Linked DNA regions of Tribolium castaneum. The protein of the gene in region 1 interacts with the protein of each later gene in a pairwise test. Links are inferred from orthologs where the notes say so. Each region holds a gene or a part of one and is shown on either strand. Other genes may lie near its edges.

What was found.
Region 2: the proteins of Caf1-55 (region 1) and Hat1 interact in a two-hybrid assay, tested with the Caenorhabditis elegans proteins (4 studies listed by BioGRID). The link is inferred for Tribolium castaneum from reciprocal best matches to the Caenorhabditis elegans genes lin-53 and hat-1.

What each region holds. Positions count from the first base shown.
Region 1 is NC_087399.1:662,013-665,893, reverse strand, and holds Caf1-55 (histone-binding protein RBBP4), read left to right. Parts: upstream 1-1,238; 5' UTR 1,239-1,376; coding exon 1,377-1,398; intron 1,399-1,498; coding exon 1,499-2,617; intron 2,618-2,738; coding exon 2,739-2,881; 3' UTR 2,882-3,058; downstream 3,059-3,881. Other genes in the region: tudor and KH domain-containing protein homolog, read left to right, coding at 1-261, 315-619; hgo (homogentisate 1,2-dioxygenase), read right to left, coding at 3,270-3,881. UniProt on the Caenorhabditis elegans protein: Core histone-binding subunit that may target chromatin assembly factors, chromatin remodeling factors and histone deacetylases to their histone substrates in a manner that is regulated by nucleosomal DNA.
Region 2 is NC_087400.1:2,898,074-2,901,794, forward strand, and holds Hat1 (histone acetyltransferase type B catalytic subunit), read left to right. Parts: upstream 1-1,027; 5' UTR 1,028-1,194; coding exon 1,195-1,303; intron 1,304-1,352; coding exon 1,353-1,437; intron 1,438-1,486; coding exon 1,487-1,737; intron 1,738-2,059; coding exon 2,060-2,404; intron 2,405-2,453; coding exon 2,454-2,719; intron 2,720-2,770; coding exon 2,771-2,932; 3' UTR 2,933-2,997; downstream 2,998-3,721. Other genes in the region: nsl1 (KAT8 regulatory NSL complex subunit 1), read left to right, coding at 1-309.

The DNA.
Region 1 (3,881 bases):
ACCGCAAGCAGGAAAATCGCGAATCCCACATTTTGAATAAAGTGACTAAAGGCGATCTTGTCGCTGCTGTGTTCCAATACGACAGCAAATGGTACCGGGCTGAAGTGCTCAGTCTGAGTGACGATAACCCGCCCCAAGCTGAACTCTACTATGTTGATTACGGGGACACGGATTTGGTCCCCGTTGAGGAATTGTACGAGTTGAGGACCGATTTCCTCCGACTGCATTTTCAAGCAATTGAGTGTTTTCTAGCACGAGTTGGTACGATTATTTATTTATTTTTTTGGGCGTTTGGTGGGTAAGTGGGTTTTTAGATCCCGTGGGAGAGAGTTGGTCGGTGGAAGCCGTGGATAAATTCGAAGAGTGGACACATGTGGCGCAGTGGAAGAAACTGTCGGCGAAAATTAACGGATATTGTGTTAGGGAGAAGACGAGGGCGAAGCGCGAGGGCTCTCCGGTCCCCGGTGTTGATTTGTTCGATGTGAACGGTGAAAAGGACGTCGATATCGCACAAGAATTGGTTAATCAAGGGTTCGCTGTTTTTAAAAGAGACGTGGATTTGAGGCCGAGCAGTCGCGCCACGAGTGTTAGTAATATTAGTGTAGCTTCGAGTTCGTAGTTTTTTACCCAAATTTTTCGAAATAAATTTTTATCGCCCTGTTCCTCAAGTTACTTAATTCATTTTTACATTGCTCTTATTTTTATTTATTTTTACGTTTTAGGTGCAATTAATTATTTTTTTAATATTGAGTAACCCTTTTTTAAATTTTGAAAGTTTGTGCCTTAATGATTATCTTCAATATTGTGATCTTGCCCGAGATTCCATTTATATTTCGTTGAATAAACCCTCTTAAGTTACCTGAGTTTTTTTTTAACCTCCACCTCTGTAAGTAAACGTGCATTATTTAATAAATCCTAAAGTGTTAACTTGAGCTGAAAAATTAGTGAACCAGACTCAAGCTGCATACTCTATTTTTTCTACAACCTGATTATAAGTTATATTAAAAAAAATCACTGAAAATTAATTCAATTGTGAATTTTAAAGTTTTCGGTTCAACACACAATCGTGCTCATCGCTTTCAGTCGCATAATTTTTACTCCCTGTTGCCACGTTGGCTCTCAATTATATATTTTTTCCTTCTATTTTTTTAATAAAACATTGGAATACCATGACTATGAAGCATCGAGTTAGCTAAATCAAAACGTACCACCGCCAAAATTTTGGCCACGGTTTGCTTAATTTGAATCTGCTGACTTGTGGCGTTGTGGCACCACTGTTCCAAATTGGCGGGCTAGCGTCATATTTAGTGGACGGCTCATTCATTTTTACTTGAATTTATCAATTTTAACATTATTCGTTTGTGTTCGTTGTAACAATGGGGGATAAGGGAGACTCCGGTAAGTATTTTCTAGTTTGCCTCGCCAAAATCACGCTTTTTTTGTAACTTTGCGAACGTAACCTTAAAACCCGGTCAACTGCACAAAAAATCTTACACAGAAACCTTCGACGACGCGGTCGAGGAGCGAGTCATCAACGAAGAGTACAAGATCTGGAAAAAAAACACCCCTTTTTTGTACGACCTTGTAATGACACATGCCCTCGAGTGGCCCTCTTTAACCGCCCAGTGGCTGCCCGATGTAACGCGCCCCGAGGGCAAAGACCACTCCATCCACCGCCTAATCCTCGGCACTCACACCTCCGACGAGCAAAACCACCTCCTGATCGCCAGCGTCCAGCTCCCGAACGAAGACGCTCAGTTCGATGCCTCGCACTATGATAACGAAAAGGGCGAGTTTGGCGGTTTTGGCTCAGTTTCGGGGAAAATTGAGATTGAAATTAAAATCAACCACGAAGGAGAGGTGAACAGGGCTCGCTACATGCCCCAGAACCCGTGCGTTATAGCCACAAAAACCCCCTCAAGCGACGTGCTAGTGTTCGACTATACGAAGCACCCCAGCAAGCCTGACCCCAACGGGGAGTGCCACCCGGACCTGAGACTCCGGGGGCACCAGAAGGAGGGCTACGGGCTGTCCTGGAACCCCAACTTGAACGGCTATTTGCTCTCGGCCAGCGATGACCACACGATCTGTCTCTGGGACATTAACGCGACCCCGAAAGAGAACCGAATTATAGACGCGAAGACCATTTTTACGGGGCACACTGCCGTGGTGGAGGACGTCGCCTGGCACCTTCTGCACGAAAGTCTCTTCGGTTCGGTCGCAGACGACCAGAAATTGATGATTTGGGACACTAGGTGTAACAATACGAGCAAACCGTCGCACACTGTCGATGCACACACTGCTGAGGTTAACTGTCTCAGTTTCAACCCCTATTCGGAGTTTATTCTTGCAACTGGGAGCGCTGATAAGACTGTAGCTTTGTGGGATTTGAGGAATCTTAAGTTGAAATTGCACAGTTTTGAGTCGCACAAGGATGAGATTTTCCAAGTGCAGTGGAGCCCCCATAATGAGACTATTCTGGCGTCGTCGGGGACCGATCGCAGGCTGCATGTCTGGGATTTGAGCAAAATCGGAGAGGAGCAAAGTCCGGAGGATGCAGAGGATGGGCCTCCGGAGCTCCTCTTCATACATGGGGGCCACACGGCCAAAATTTCAGGTAAATTAATAATCTTTTTTGATATTTTTTTTTTTTTGTGTAAATAATCTTTAGTCGTATTTACTTAACGTTTTCGTAATTTTTATCAAAGTGTAATTAGCGTTTAATTTTTTTTCCTTAGATTTTAGTTGGAATCCCAACGAACCGTGGGTTATTTGTTCCGTGTCTGAGGATAATATTATGCAAGTGTGGCAAATGGCCGAGAATATTTATAACGATGAGGAGCCCGAGCAACAGGCCGATATGGAAACTCCAGCGAATTAGTCTAGTTTTTTTATTTATGTTTAGTTTTAGTGTTACCTGTAAGCATACCACGTTCTCGTTTCCTTTACTGAAGTAATTAAGTGAAAGTGTGACCATTTGTGTTTATCAAACTGAAACATTATGTTATCCACAATATTTTAAACATTTTTTACAAATAAATAAATACTTTGTCCAGAACACTTGTTTTATTTACAATCGTTCGAATTTTAATCATTTATTACCCGCTAACAGTCAACATTTCCGCCAAGTTTCATTAAAAAAATTTTATGACACAGGTCGAATAGAAATTGCATAAAAAATTATCTTCAATTCCTGATTTATAAATCAGGATTAAAAAGGCTTATTTACAAAAACACGAATTGTAAACGTAGTAATTTATTGAAAAATCTCATTTCGGGCCGGTAAAGTGGCTCTTGAGCCCTTGCCAGCACTGGTAGTACTCCGGGTCCAGCTTCTGGCACGTCTTAGCCCCCCACTTGGTGACAGCCAACCCCAAACAACTCTCAAACATGAAGGCCTGGGTCCCATCAGCCACTCTGGCCGGCTTCAAAACCTCGACACTTGCCGCCTCAAAACAATTAAAATCGGGCCCGTGCGGAGTCATAATACTGTGCAAAGTGGCCCCTCCTGGCCTAAAACTCCCTCTCTTCGCCTCATACTCCCCGAAAATAAGCCCCATAAACTCGGACATGCAATTCCTGTGGTAGTAAGGCGGCCTGAACGTATGTTCCTGAACGGACCAACGCGGCGGGAAAATCACGAAATCGGCAATTGCCGTGCCCTTTTTCTCAGACTGACACGTCAGGACGGTGAAAATCGAGGGGTCACAGTGGTCGAAAGACACCGAATTGATGACATTAAAGCGGGCAAGGTCGTACTTATACGGCACGTAATTACCGTGCCAGGCCACCACGTCAAACGGGCTGTGGTCTTGTTCACACACAAACAATTTGCCCTGGTATTTGGCCACGACTTCGTATTTTGCGACATTACGATCCTC
Region 2 (3,721 bases), on another chromosome or scaffold:
ATTTCGCAGTCACGTGTCGTTCCGACGACTGTGGCACGAGAGGAGAACAATACGCCGGAAAATGTCGAAGTGGCGCCGTTTGACACACGAACGTTTCCATTGGACGACGAAACGTACGAGAAGATGCTTAAAAGTATGCCGGAAAATCACCAGTTTAAGACGAATTATCGCGCGCAGGATTGTGATTATTTGGACGAGAAGGTGGACTCGCCCGGGAGCGAGTCCACCGAGTCGGCGCTGGGCGAAGAGGACCCGAACGATCCCGAGTGGGTGGACATGGAGAGGGTTAGAGACAGGCATAAGAGATAATTTTTTTTTCGGTTCATTTTTTTGATAAAGCTTGGGATTTTGTATTACGAGGTCTGTGATTGTCATTACATTACATGTGAGATACGTCAATACAGTTGTTGCTTTTTTAGTATTGTAATGTATTTAAAAATACAGAATTCGAAGCTTACGTGCTAGGTTCAGTTGACATAATTTGTAATATAATCATAATTTAAGTAATTTCTTTTTGTACTGTTGCAGAGTCTAGTTCACTTGATTGTAACATGACTGGTTAGACTAGTTACTAATTTTAACTGTACTTTTGTTACTGAATTGGTAGTTATGTTACTTTTTTGATGTCAAGTACAACCCAGTGACTTGTTATATGAAATTCTATTGTAAATAAAGCAGTGCAAATATTTGTTATAGAGATATTTTCGAAATCATTTGCATTTTTTTCGTTTTTATGAGAATTATTCAAATTGTACATGCTCTTCATAAGAGACAAATATGTATCATATTATTATTAAAGTGTTTATTGTAAAGCAAATCGCGTTATATCTTTGCAAGTATTCACCATGTAGTTACTTCCTGTAGTATTGTACGTTTTTATATGCAGATGTATTGATTGAATAAAGTCCAATCTGCTTATTTTTACACTTTACGAATGGAAACGTCGTTTCGCCCCTCCTCACGACACGCCACTGGTTTTTTCAAATTTCCCGCCACATTACGTGACATGCGCAAAAAATCGCGCGCCAGCCGACTTGACCACAGTTAACTTGTGTTCGGTTATGTGGCCCCAAAGGCCCTCAAAATTGTTTTAAGTGTTTTCAATTTCGAAATTTGTGGTCACGTATCATTTACGCCGCCTCTTATCACGGCACAGTCACTTTTTGTCGGAAAAAAAACGGCAAAAAATTCGAGATGGCTAAAAACAACCTAAACGGAGACAGTGATGTTTCCTCGAACTGCGAAGACGACGAAATGGTCTTGTACAAGAAGCTGAGCCTCAACGTGATCACGTTCCGGACCGGTGAGGGCCCCCTTAATTTTGGCGCTTTTTTCGTTAATTGCGGTTACAGTGCGAGACAAGCAGGATCTGGAGGACCCCCCGAGGAAGGGCAGCTCGTTTAAGCCCGACATGGCCCACCAGATATTCGGGGAGACGTAAATTTGGTGTTTTAGTGAGTTGGAGAGACCTAACCTCACTTTTCAGAGAGATGATTTTTGGGTACAAAAAACTGGCCATAAATTTGTTTTATTTGCACAATTCGGCCAAGTGTTACGTTGAGGTGCAAACCGGGGGGAAAATACACGAAAACGCCGATGATATCATGAAAGCGCTAAATCCCTGGCTGCCGGAAAACTACCGGACTGAAAAGAGCGATTTTCTCGCCGATTTGGACGAGGAAAAGCCCGGTCTGATGTTCGGGGACGTGATCGACACGTTTTCCACCGATTCTGAAAGTAATTGCCCCGAATTTGGGCCAAATACGGTTTGGTATAGGTTAGGATGCGAAATGACGTACAAATAAAATGTCCCGATTTTGGGCACTTTTATTAGTGTCACCAGATGGCGCAGTTTATTTTTTTAACGGTATAATCGGTCTTTAGTAGAATTGCAACAGAGTTTTAAATTGAAAAGTTAAAGACAATAATGAAAACAATAAAAAATTGCCAGTACCAGTAATAATAATACTAGTAATAATAATAATGCACGATTTTAACTCTCGTTTCGTCTCCTAATCTATAGTCCCCCGGTCCAAAAAACCAAATTAGATTTTTCCAGATGTGTATAAAGTGACAGTTTGCGACCTGAAAAACCCCGACTTCCGCCAGTTCCACCAACGTTTCGAGACGCTAATCGTGTGGTTCATCGACGGCGCCAACTTCATAGACCTGGAGGACCCCCGCTGGGTGATCTTCTACGTCTATGAAGAGGGCCCCGAGTCGCACTTCACCCCAGTCGGTTTTTGCACCGTTTACAAATTCTTCCTCTACCCCAACTTAACGCGCCCCCGAATTAGCCAATTTTTCGTGCTCCCCACGCACCAGAAGCGCGGAATCGGCACGAATTTGTACAAAGCTGTTTACAATTACTTGAAACAAATGCCCGACTCGGGCGATATTACAGGTTCCTGTAACGTAGTAATGGCCCAGTTGGTACGACTGTTTGTTTTTAGTGGAAGAACCGACCGAGGTGTTCCAGAAAATACGCGATTTTTGCGACAGCTTGCACATTTATGAGGATTTGGAGGGCAAAGGGATCAACATCACGACACAAAACCTGAAGCAAATTAACGAGTTTTTGAAGAAACATAAGATTGGGAAACGACAAGCGCAGCGCGTTTTTGATATTTTAGAATGTCTGACTGCGCATAAAAACGGGTATAAGGAGTATGTCAAGTTCACGGAGGGGATTCGGAGCAGGATTGCCAACGAGATTGAGGTGAGGCGCAAAAGTCCCTAGGTTTTTTCACAGTTGGGGTTTTTTTCGTAGAAGGAGACTCGGGGCAGTAAGAGATTGTGTAACTTGGAGCGGGCCGGAATTGTGACCGAACCTATCGACAAAAAGGCAGCTATTGATGCAGAGTATAATAAATATGTGGATAGTTTGGAGTGGCCTGTGAATCGGTTGAGGGCACTGTTGGTCAAGAAGTGACCTGTTTATTTATTCTCATTTTTGCATTTTTCATTAAATTTTCACTAATAAAGGTTTTTCTACTAGTGTTTGTTTCTATTTTTTATCCTTGGCTTGTTGGCAGAAAATTCAGTACTGCCAACTAAAACTGAAATCCGTCGAGTACTTTCTGGTTCAGAACAACTCTTAAGTTAATTTTTTTTAACAACTAAAAGTTTTATCACCTGTTTAAAACGCCCGCTGTTTGCGCTGCCAACCTTCCCACCTAAGTCCCCCAGACGGTTTTGTGCCGTTTGTTTCACCTAGAGGGCGCCACTACATTAAATACCACAAAAAATAAAAATTTTCAAACACACTAGATTTTGGCCTAACAGTTTTTTAGAGGTTGGCGGCTGTTTTTTTTGCATTTTCAATTGTTTTTAATTGCTGGAAATGGTGGATTTATATGAGAAATTGGTGAAAACGTGAATAAATGATTAATTTGCGCTGTTTTTTATTCATTTTATGACCGAAACAAAACGGAATGATTAACTCTGTCTTTGTTTTACTTGTTCTGACGTCAGCAAAGTTAGAGATGGCGCCACCACAAAAAATAGAAATTTCATAAATATTTAAAACCTAATTATATCACGTAAAAAATTTTTAGAGAATATTTTTCCAAATATTTTGTTTTTAAATGTTAAGTGCAGAAACAATACTAACGAAAAACATAAGAATAAAAAATTTTAAACGAAACTACAGTCGAGTTTTGAAAAAGAACACAAGAGAATGTGGAATAAATGTTTATAAAATAGTTTTGAATTCAACTCA